3 linked regions of the Caenorhabditis elegans genome follow. The protein of the gene in region 1 purifies or fractionates together with the protein of each later gene. This does not show direct contact. Each region holds a gene or a part of one and is shown on either strand. Other genes may lie near its edges.

What was found. Proteins that work in one complex are often made in the same cells at the same time.
Region 2: the proteins of nucl-1 (region 1) and snu-13 fractionate together in Caenorhabditis elegans (co-fractionation; one large-scale study listed by BioGRID). This does not show direct contact.
Region 3: the proteins of nucl-1 (region 1) and C43E11.9 fractionate together in Caenorhabditis elegans (co-fractionation; one large-scale study listed by BioGRID). This does not show direct contact.

Annotation. Positions count from the first base shown.
Region 1 is NC_003282.8:8,286,033-8,291,434, reverse strand, and holds nucl-1 (Nucleolin homolog 1), read left to right. Parts: upstream 1-1,904; 5' UTR 1,905-1,916; coding exon 1,917-2,529; intron 2,530-2,575; coding exon 2,576-2,886; intron 2,887-2,986; coding exon 2,987-3,950; intron 3,951-3,994; coding exon 3,995-4,425; intron 4,426-4,486; coding exon 4,487-4,564; 3' UTR 4,565-4,848; downstream 4,849-5,402. Other genes in the region: N-alpha-acetyltransferase daf-31, read right to left, coding at 135-276, 700-959, 1,012-1,158; K07H8.9 (K Homology domain-containing protein), read left to right, coding at 5,119-5,172, 5,220-5,376. UniProt on the Caenorhabditis elegans protein: Nucleolin is the major nucleolar protein of growing eukaryotic cells. It is found associated with intranucleolar chromatin and pre-ribosomal particles. It induces chromatin decondensation by binding to histone H1.
Region 2 is NC_003280.10:10,657,496-10,660,266, forward strand, and holds snu-13 (Small nuclear ribonucleoprotein associated homolog 13), read right to left. Parts: upstream 1,132-2,771; 5' UTR 1,120-1,131; coding exon 964-1,119; intron 884-963; coding exon 653-883; 3' UTR 532-652; downstream 1-531. Other genes in the region: lact-3 (Beta-lactamase-related domain-containing protein), read right to left, coding at 19-173; rsp-7 (putative splicing factor, arginine/serine-rich 7), read left to right, coding at 1,715-1,834, 1,903-2,053, 2,102-2,220, 2,537-2,713; marc-2 (RING-CH-type domain-containing protein), read right to left, coding at 2,752-2,771. UniProt on the Caenorhabditis elegans protein: Binds to the 5'-stem-loop of U4 snRNA and may play a role in the late stage of spliceosome assembly. The protein undergoes a conformational change upon RNA-binding.
Region 3 is NC_003279.8:4,266,668-4,269,913, forward strand, and holds C43E11.9 (60S ribosome subunit biogenesis protein NIP7 homolog), read right to left. Parts: upstream 1,301-3,246; coding exon 1,178-1,300; intron 1,129-1,177; coding exon 827-1,128; intron 781-826; coding exon 663-780; 3' UTR 532-662; downstream 1-531. Other genes in the region: mus-81 (Crossover junction endonuclease MUS81), read left to right, coding at 1-59, 115-507; cdc-6 (Cell division control protein), read right to left, coding at 1,600-2,103, 2,401-3,135, 3,183-3,246.

The sequences.
Region 1 (5,402 bases):
TTAAATTTTTACCTAATCTAAAACCAGAGGAGGAAACGAGAATTGAAAGAAAAGAGATCCTCCTGAAAGGGGAGAACAGAGAAAGTATCAGAATGAACCAGTTGGAAAAGGCAAAAATAAACTTTGATAACGAATTAACTGCGATTTTTCTTTTTATCGTCAGTGGTTTTTGCAGTGGTATAGGCCTCTCGATCTGCTGGCTCGATGTTCCGTTCTTCTGCCCATTTTGCGAGATCGCGACGCATAGCGTATGCATCTTCTCCATCCGCGTAATATCTGGAATTTGTCATTTTTGTTAATAATTAGGGTTAATAAGGTTCTAAAAGTTATCATAATTTGCAAATTGAAGTATGTTTCTTCTGATTGATGCCAAAGTTTAATCACCTCGCTCGCATATTTTTGTTTATTGTTTTAAAAAAGCGCCACGTTATTAAACGTAATTATTTTTCGAAACATTTTGTCCTTTCACTGATAATCACAATAACCTTTTTCAATTTGAACTTGACTTGGAACAAAAATTAAAAATAGGTGAACCAAAAAAGAATACAAAATTATTTAATTCCATCACTTCTGTAAAAAGTATAACGTTGGAAATCGAACGGGTGATTGGGAAACGTCGATTAGAATTTTTTCAGTTGTTCATCGAGGGACGAACTAATCCGCGCCGAGAAATGAGGATTTATTCAAATTAATACTTACTTTGGCTCTGTATCCACAATTTCGAATTTCAGTGTGTTCTTGTATAGATTCAATGCGGCTCGGTTTGATACACGAACATGAAGCGATACGTATTTAGCGTTGTAGGTTTCGACCATGGCTCTTGCGGTCTGATCCATCATTTTATTAGCCAATCCCAGACGTCTGTAAGATCTTTTGACGGCCAAAGAGGTGATATGACCATGTGGCTCCTCTCCTGGGTCTTCTTCCATTTTGGCGAGAACATATCCAACAACATTTCCCTGAACAACAATAAATGTTTCAAGTCAAGATTTGCATGAGAATAAAAAATACCTTGTGATCTTCAGCAATATAAGAGAGCTGCGGCCAAGAAAGAGCGTGATAGAAGTAGTATTTCATTTGATAATTCTCTGGAAGGCACATAAGATTCGCATTTTGCATGCTCATCAAATCGTCCACGCGAGCACAACGAATGTTCATCCTGCTGCAAAGATAGAGCAGTTGAGTAAACGGCACAAAAAATTCGGAAGCGAATGCAAAAGGAGAAAAAAATAGAGATTAATGGAGGATTTGCAATATACGAGCTTGTAAAAAAGTTATAACTCGAATTCGCCGAGGGGCAATACACCGTAGAAATAGAAACGTGGATAAGGTGGCACGTGAAACTTAAGTTTTTACTAAAACAATTAGGAAAGAACTATGTATCGCAAATGACAGAGTTTTGCAAATAAAATATTTATATTAAACTATTTTGTTCAATTTTAAAAGAATATCACGCAATATAAATACGAACAAACATTCTAATTGATGAAAACGAATTCTAAAAAGTGTATAATTGACAGTTCAAACGGTTTTGATAACAAACAAAAAGAAATGTACGGAAAATCCAGTTTTTATTGATTTGTCGAATTGTTGAAAGCCGTTGCAAGCCGGCTGCCGCCAGCAAGAAAATTAACGTTTAAAGGCGCATGCATTTATTCGAGAGATCGTGGCGAGACCTGCGCCCGCTTATCGATGAATTTCGAATTTAGAAACATTCTCTTTGTGTACTTTTTCATGTTTATCACTGAAATAAATCGCTTTTCTACGTTTTTTGAAGAAATTTTCTGCTTAAAAATTACTATAATGCATAAAATATCGAAATATATCATTACAACACATTTGGTCGCTGTTATTTCCTGATTTAACTCTAATTAGGACTTCCTAACTTTATTTTATTTATTTCAGGTACAATCAAAATGGGTTTCGACTCACCAAGAGGACGCGGAGGCGGAGGCTTCCGCGGTGGTCGTGGTGGTGGCAGTGGCTTCACCCCACGTGGTGGCGGTGGTGGATTCCGAGGTGGAGATAGAGGACGTTCTCCAGGCGGATTCCGTGGAGGCGATAGAGGACGTTCATCAAGCGGATTCCGAGGAGGAGATAGAGGTCGCTCACCAGGAGGATTCCGTGGTGATCGTGAAGGTGGATTCTCCCCAAGAGGACGTGGTGGAGGCTTCCGAGGTGGTGACCGTGGTGGATTCCGAGGTGGAGATCGTGGAGGATCTCCATGGCGTGGAGGAGACCGCGGCAACTTCCGTGGAGGTGATCGTGGTGGCTCTCCATGGCGAGGAGGAGATCGTGGTGTAGCTAATCGCGGTCGAGGAGATTTCTCTGGAGGGTCCCGTGGTGGCAATAAGTTCTCCCCTAGAGGAGGCGGTCGTGGTGGCTTCACACCTCGTGGACGCGGTGGAAACGATTTCTCACCGCGCGGAGGAAGAGGAAACTTCCAATCTCGTGGGGGAGGCAGCCGAGTTGGTTTTAGCGATAAGAGAAAACAGTATGATAGTGATGGAGATGACGACGAGGAAGAGGGTATAGTGCTGATTTTAGATTTATTTGCAATTATTCAATATTCCAGAAGTCCCGAAGAAAAAGCTTGCCACCGGAACTCCGTTTGCAAAACAAACAAAACCAGTAGAAGACGATTCTGGTGAAGACGAAGAAGATGAGGAGGAGAGTGATGAGGAGCCACAACCACCAAAGAAAACTGCTAAGAGTGCCATTGCTACGGCTGCTGAAGATTCTGACGATGACGAAGAGGACGATGATGAGGAGGAGGAAGAATCTGATGATGACGCTCCGCAGGTCAAAAAGTCTGTTGCTGTTGAGGAAGATGAAGAAGATGAGGAAGACGAGGAAGAAATTGAAATGGACGAAGAAGATGAGGAGGTATGTTTTTTTTTTCTCAAAGGCTGATTTTCTTGTGAAAATTTCTTTGGAAAATGTTGCAATGTTTATTTCGAGTTTCCTTTAATATTATTGTTTTCAGGAAGAAGAGGACGAGGAGGAGACCGAGCCTGTCGCTAAAACTCCAGCTGTAAAAAGCTCTCTCAAATCTGTCGACTCCACAAAAGGAAAGCAAGTCAATTTATCTAAGGTTGCAACCCCAACTACTGTTGACAAGAAAGCACCAGCAACCCCGCATCCTGCCAAAACATCAAAAAATGCTGCCGGTGATGTTCCAAAACTGAACTTTGATGATGACAGCGACGAGGAAGATGAGGAGGATGAAGAAGTAGAGGAGGAAGACGAAGAGGAGGAGGAAGAGGAAGAAGATGTTCCAGCTAAGAAAGCTCCAGTCCTCAAGCAGTCTTTAAGTCAAATAGCTCAAGCGATTGAGGAGGACAGTGACGATGAGGATGAAGATGAAGAAGAAGAGGAGGACGAGGAAGATGAAGAAGAGGAGGAGGATACCACAAATGTCCCACTTATCAAGTCGAAAGCTGATCTTCTCAAACAGATTGCTGCAAATCGTGCTGCTGCTTCTGCTGCTCAAGATAGTGATGAAGACGAAGACGAGGAGGATGAAGAAGACGTAGAGGAAGAAGATGAAGAGGAGGAAGAGGAAGAAGATATCCCAGCTGTGAAGCCAAAAGTCACCGAAAAACAAGGAGGTGTGAAGAGAAAGCTTGATGAGCCTACCGTCGCTTCTAAACAAGTCAAGAGCGATGGTAAATCAATTATCAGTGAAGAGGAGAGAAGACGTCAAGATAGAGATTCGCGTTCTTTGTTCATCAAAGAAATTGCTAAGAAAGCAAAAGATGCTGAAATCACTGGTCTTGTAACTGGACTCGATTCTTTCCGTCGCAAAAAGAACTCGAACTTTGGATGGCTTGTATTCAACACTGTCGCAGATTGCAAGAAAGCTCACGATGTTCTTAGCAAATCTAAGATTCAAGGAAAAGCTCTTTATGTAGACTTCTGTCTCAGTGAAAGCAAAGCTCCAAAAGAACGTACGTTTTAAAATTCCTTAGCCAAGCAAAGTATAATTTTTTAGATGGAGTTCGTCCGATTAATCCTCTCCAGCTCTTCATCAACGCTCTCCCAGGAACCTGCAATAACACAGACTTGAAGAACATCTTCCGTTCATCCACAGACATTAAGATCCTTCACGCAAGTGGTCAGCCAAACTCGAAAAAGAGAGCTTTCATCACTTTTGGAACCGTAGAAGACGCTCAAGCTGCATTCGCAAAATCAAATGGATTGAAGGTTAACAATCATCTAGTCGATGTGTTCTATGCGAGACATCAAGAGACGAAGGTTGACGTGAAACCAAAGAAGGCAGCTACTCCAGCGGTTCAAAAAAAAATTGTTCCGAAAGTTGCTGCTGATTCGTCAGGTGATGACAGCGAAGAGGTGGCGTCAAGTGATGAAGGAATTCAGGAAGTTGAAGAAGAACAACCAAAACAAAAGAAGCTCGTGAAAAAGGTAATTTCTAATCCAGATTATTTTAAAACCTTTATCTTCACTTTCTACAAAAAAAATTAAGGTTGAACCGAAGACTATTCCACGTGTGCAGCAGAAAAAGCCGCAATTCAAGAAGACCGGTTTCAAGGGAAAGAAATAAATTTACCATTGTTTACCATACCACTAATCTCTTCTAGATTTATTCCATCTTGTTGATCCATCTGTTCGCTCCTTGTTAAATCCCATTTTTTTTAAATATTTTTCATTGTTGTTGGTTTTATTGTTTCTCTTGCACAAATTATCAATCCCAATTGTTGTCCCAAAACGTTTTTCATTGTTTTCCCCTGCCTCTTCACAAATCCCTTTCATTTAGGTTATTTGAGTAAGTGTGCTCGGTGTATTTGATGTGCTCGACACTATCAAAAATAAAGTCATTGAAAATATATTCAATCGTGTAATCATTTTGTCATCTGTTTTGAATTTTGGTCAGAGTTATTTTCAATTTTTAGGAACACGTTCACTTATCCTGTAAAGCACTGAATGTAATGTTGAAGGATGATAAAAGAAAGAAGATGCAGTTGCCACGTCTCTGACCTTACTCTGATTAATTTTAATCACGTCTGAATATACGCGTGACCTCCACGTCATCCCCATGATGCCACGTTGGCACGGAGCTCCGTGGCTGAAATTGTTCAGTCTTGTTCATGTTTCACCATGAACAACCATAATTGCTTTCTCACCCCTCTCCAGCAGAAATTCATGCAAATTGTTAGTTCACACCTTTATATATTTTTCAGTTATCTGTTTTTTTGCAGCTATCCGACTATGAAAGAGATCCTAAATCGATCCAAATTCATGAGGAATCCGACCAAATGGATGTAGTGATCTCTTATTTCAAGCTGCTCCTAGCTGAAAAGTCCCGTCTTCTCCAATATGGTCAGGCTAACTTCTCAGTGCATCTCATCGATGAAGGTATGAATTCCAATTTTATAGATCTA
Region 2 (2,771 bases), on another chromosome or scaffold:
CAGGAAGGTCGAACTTACTTAAAAACCTCTCGAACTTTCTCGAAACGTTCATCGACAAATCCACTAACATCGGATTTGTGATTTGAATATAACCGATCACATACAAAGCGATAAGTTACAGATAATAAAACTGTGGCTAGAAATAGTTTGAAGAGTAGAGAAAACTGTTGCATGTTGGTGGGAACACGGAGCGGCGGGAATGGAGAGACAGAGCACACGGAGATGGGCGGTGCTTGCCTTGCCAGAAACCGTCTTTTCTCCCGGAGGAAGCGACTCCCTGTAGTTATCAGCGATTGCCTTTTTTTTGGCGGCCCTATCGGGTTGTGACGGCGTTTGGGGTGGAATTAGCAAGCCAATGGTTAGGAAGAGACACATTCTAGGGCAAACGGGGGTCGAATTAGAATGCAACCGGTTCCGGGAGGTTTATTTACTCGCATCATCATACGCCAATGAAGTACTTGTGTGTCCAAGATACACTTTAGAACAGTGTAGCCGATTATGCAATTTGATAACAATCAGATGTCCATGTTTCGCAGAAACGTTCATTCTTTTTCAAAAACGATGTATTTGCAATTTGGGACAACAAAACAATGAATGGATTATCATATAACAACAATGAGGTAACGTAACAACAAATTGATAAAAGAAGGATTTAGATGAGAAGCTTCTCAACGTCCTCCTTGATCTTCTGAATTTGAGATTTGAGCTGAGATCCTTCGTTTTGAGTGATTGAAGCAGCGATCACTGGACGAGTGACTCCACAAGCGCGTCCGAGGGCAGCCTTGCTGCGAACAAAGACGTATGGAACGTTCTTGTCTTCGCAGAGAAGTGGAAGATGGAGGAGAATCTCCAGTGGCTCGGCATCGGCGGCCATGACGATGATCTGAAACAATTCAATTAATTTGGTTCGAAAATTGATTTTGAAAATGGGAATGCAATTCAACATGGTTACGATACACTTACCTCAGAGATTCCTCTGTTGAGAGTCTTGGTGGCCTCGTTGGCTCCCTTCTTGAGCTGTTTGTAGTTCATCGCTTGCTGGACGAGATCCATGAGCTTTTGAGACAAGTTGGTATCGGCCAGTGGGAAGGCCTTCGGATTGACTCCATCATCGGCCATTTTTCTTCTTTTCTGAAATAAAGATGGTTGAAAATTGCTACAATGCGAAAGAATTATTTATCGATTCAAGAGAAAAAATAATAAAAACGATTTCAAAGCTGTAAATTCAAATTTTTACGATGATTTGCACTAGTAACATATCTGAAAGTAATAGATAATCAAAATTCCATTTATTTTTAATTTATTGTACCAACTTATTTAATTTCCGAAGAAAAATACAACGGGCAACGGGAGAAACAAAAGAAAAGAGAAAAAAACTACTTGTAATTTTCGAAAAGGGCCCAAAAAGAGACGCAGACAGTGGACGGGTCTCGCAGCGACAAGATGTTGGCACGCTGCCAAACATGCAGTGATTCTTTTTTATTCGAATTTGGCTGCATTTATTTTCGATTTAACCTGAATTTTACATGTTTTATCTGATTTTTATCGATTTTAAACGAAATTTCGATAAAAATCTAACTTTTTCTAATAGTTTATGCCTTTTCGATAGATTTTTACATGTTAATTTTGAAATTACGTCGCCGGTTTAAATTTATTGAACTACATTTTGTTTTTCTATTTTTCAAGACGAAAATTGATTATTTTATTTTCAGGAATGTCGGGGGAGGAGAAAGAAAAAGTAAAAATTCTCCATGTCGCCAACATTTCGACATCGGCTACCAGGGATCACATCTACAACATGTTCAACTATCTCGGAAAAATTCAGGATTTGAAGGTTGGTTTATTATTCCAAATTTACACATTTTTCGATTAAAAATTTCAATTAAAAATTTATTCTTTCAGGTCTATCCATCAGAAGGTAATATCACAGCTAATACTCTCCTGAAAACTGCTTTTATCAAGTTCGACGACGAGCGATGTGTCGAAGTAGCTCAGCATCTCACCAACACAGTCGTCATCGATTGCGCGATAGTCTGCCTACCATATCCGAATCGTGAGTTTTTTGAAAGCTGCATTTTTTCATAAAGTTTCATTTTTTCAGCTGTGATTCCGGACGAGGAGAGTTTTTTCAACAGTGGTGGATCTACAACGGCTGGTCAGCGACAGCTCCCACCTCACGTCACCAATAAAATTCAAGAATCTGACGATGGATCTGCTTTGGTAAGTTTATTTTCCCACTAGTTTTCCAACTAGCGTCTGGTGGTAACGGACGTTACTTGTTCATTTTACAGTTCTACTGGCCACTACCCAAATGACGAATGCAGTAAAATCCCGAAAGCGTAATCCAGAAAATCATCAAAAAACTTTGTTAGTACTCGCCGAATGATTAAATTTTCAGTTTCAGTGTATCCTCGCCAATCTATGCTGCGCATCGTCGGATATGAAAGCAATTAAATTTAGAAATTTTCAAATTCCTGATATTTTAGAAATTGCAATATTTCTAGTTTTCGCGCCGTCTAATTATTCCATTTTTCAGTTGATTACAGTCGATCCGACACTGGAGCAGCTCGGACTACCGGCTTATCCACCTCTACCGGCTGACACGGATTCTGCCAAAGTCGAAGAAATTCGAAGAACAGTCTACGTTGGAAATCTTCCGAAAGGTGTTGATGGAAACGAGGTTCTCGAACTGTTCAACATGTATTTTGGAGAGGTAGGTTAAAAACGATATTTTTGAAAGATTTATTTCTATCAATGTGCATTTATTGGCA
Region 3 (3,246 bases), on another chromosome or scaffold:
TGAAGAATCGAGTTTATTTGATTGAAGCTCAACATAAAGGAGATGTTGCTTGCGAACAGGTAGAATATAGAATTAGAATCTGATGATTTTTCAAAATTCTAACAAAAATTCCAGGCCGTAGCATCAACTCTTTCCAATGGAGGATATCTTATTCAAAGATGCTCTGATACTCGAGACACAGCTGCATTTCTCAAGGAAGTGACGATTCGTTTGCAGAACAAAGCGGCCATAGAAGAAATTTCGGGTGTTCCATTCAGCCAACTCCAGAATCTTCTCCAGAAAAAGAAGGCGGAAACTGTGAAAGAAGCTTGGGTCCGACAGCTGATGGTTTGCCCGGGAATGTCTCAGAATCGAGCCGAAGCAATTGCCGATCGATTTCCATCCATGGTATCCCTGCTTTCATATTTTCGTGCAAATGGAGACGATGCACCGATTCGACTTCTTCAGCTTTTACCTCAACTAACTAGGCCTATTACTCGTAACCTTTTCAAATTTTTTGTTCAATAAGTGAATCCTGAATGAATCAGAATTAGATTGAATTTTTTATAATTGAATGAAAAATTTTGAAAGGAAGACCAACAAAAACAACATCAACAAGAGAATAACAATGAAAAATGAAAAATTGTGGAATTTAAAATTTTTGAATGGAGACCAAAATCCGATTAAGCGAGATGACTCTCATTTCTGAGATACTCTCCAAGATCGCATTGATGTAGAACGACGAGAGCAGTTGGATCGGCACGCTTACTGTCTGATGTTCCTTTCGCTGACACTCCGAATCTAGAGAAATATATTTAATTAACTTGAATATTAAATGTGAACATACCCCAATGGAACATCGGTCATCGAGTATACGACGATTCCAGCATGAGTTGGAGTTCCGTCGGTCATTCTTGCGATTCCAGACTTGAGAATGTTGTTTCCGTAAAGGAATTGCTGCTCGGCGTTCGGCTTCAGCCACACCTTGAACTTGGCATACGGCGCCAAATAGTCGAGAGCGGTGATTTGGAGATGGAACTTTTTGCTTTTGGTGAACTTTCCCAAGCAAGTTCCAAAAGAGAGAAGTGGCTCACGGGCAATGCAGGCGGCTTGACGCATCAGATTTTCCGAACAGTAATAGACACGTTCCTGAAGAACAAATCGAGTTTTTATTGGATAAAGAACAATTAATTAATACCTTGTGATTTCTGAAGCAATAATCTCCATCATTTCTGTCGATGAGCATCGAGACATTGTCTCCGATGAACGAGGCCAACTTGGCAAATACAAGCGATGTCTCTTCTTCTGTCAGTGGACGCATCTGAATAATTAAGAAATGGGTAGAATAATTATAGACATAATAAAATAAAGATAAAAAATTTTGGAATATAAAACCAAAATTCAGAGCAAAAAGTTTTGTAATAAATATGGAGAACGTTTATAAATTACACAGAACGTGTACCCGAAGGTAAAGGGACAGGTATTCAGAAGAGAGAACGCGTTGAAAGGAAGTGAGAGGAATGATAAAGTTTACAGGGAAATGCCAAAGTAAGAAATTCAAAACTTTTTCAATATTTCAATAAATAGAAGTGGATATAAATTATGTTACAGGAGATGCGATTAAAATTGAAGGAGTCCAATTTGATCAAGCATCGCGTTGTCACTGATAGCCGATTTTGCCGTCGGAGCATCAACTTGAAGAACTAGCTTTCCGCCGTTTAACTGACGGACGAAGGATTGAGATTCGAGAGTCTGGAACGCTGAATGAAGTTCATCGTCATCAAGAGCGGGCATTCGAAGAGCCTCGCAAGCTTTATAATAGGCACGGAGCAGGGAATTCCGATCGAATGTGCATTTCTTGTTGGCAGAAAGTGTTAAAGAGACAGCTAGAAGAATTCGAGGTTGAAGTGGAAGACGAGCACGAGCCAATGGAGACGAATAGACATTGTTGATGATTCCAAGAACTTCACGACATCCATTAACTGGGGTACCAGGAACTTTTGAATCATCAGGAATCATACGACTTTTTTGTTGTTTGAAGATGTGGAGTGCGGTACGAAGATCTCCGCTCATTGCAGCCACTTTACGAGCGGTTAACTCGATTGCCTTTGCGTCAATTGAAGTCTGAAATTATAAAATGTAAAATACTAAATGAACTTAGGAGCACCGGTTCTCTGAGTTTTTCGCTTGGAAAGAATCAAAATGTGCGCAAACGAAAGAATTTCATAATGAGACTGCTGAAAAGTTCTTAGAAAATGGGCGAAATTGGTGATTTTATTTAAAAATAGCTTTTTTCTTCGAAATTTTTTAGCCACCATAATTGTTTTTTTGAAAATTCTCACTACAAAATTAGTTTTTTTTGGTACATTTTGAGTCTATACAAGCCGAAAACCGATACTCATCCTTTAAATTTAAACTTACCTCCTCGTTTTTCATTTTATCATTCAAAATTTCTACGATGTCATCTTTCGTATACGGTTCAAAAACGAGTCTTTTCGGTGGCTTCGCGAGCATCAATTTTGGAAGAAGTCGTTCTGTCAAATCAATCGAATTTGCAATTCCAAGAATGATAATTTTTCGAGACAACGTCTCTGGCCATTGAAAAGCTGCGTAGAGTGCAGCGTTCTTTCGATTCGCGAGATGATCAATCTCATCGAGAACCAGTACCAGAGGAGTTTTGAATTGCTTCACGTGCTTCTCAAAAATTTCTTCATTCGGCTTTCCGTCCAAATCCAAAGATTCGAAAATCGTTTTGAATAGTGCTGATTTGGTATTTGTTGAAGCGCAATTTACAATACAACTTCGAACTGATTTTCCCAATGATTTAAGAACTCTCATTGTGGTCGCAGTTTTTCCAGTTCCAGGTTGTCCACTGACATAAATAGACAACGAAGTATTCGTTTCTTTACTTTTCATAATCCATAATTTCAGTGAATCAAATTCTTCACGTCTTCCTTTCAAAGCCCCTTCGGAAGATGTTGAAATAATTTCTTCGCTGTCAGATTCCGATGAGCTCTCTTTTCGCGACTTTTTCTCTGGTGTTCCCTGAGATCCAGATCGTGACCTCGACTGTTTTTCCGGAGTACGTGGAGTTGTCAATTGGCTCTTCAAGTTTGTAGCTTTTCGTGGTCTACCTCTGGCTCGTGGGCTTGAAATCTAAAAAATTTAACATTTCAGTTATTCCACATTCCTAGTGCTCTAACTTCAAGTTTCTCGACACGATCTGCTAGCGATGATCCGGGACTCAGAAGCAATTTTCGTTTTTCT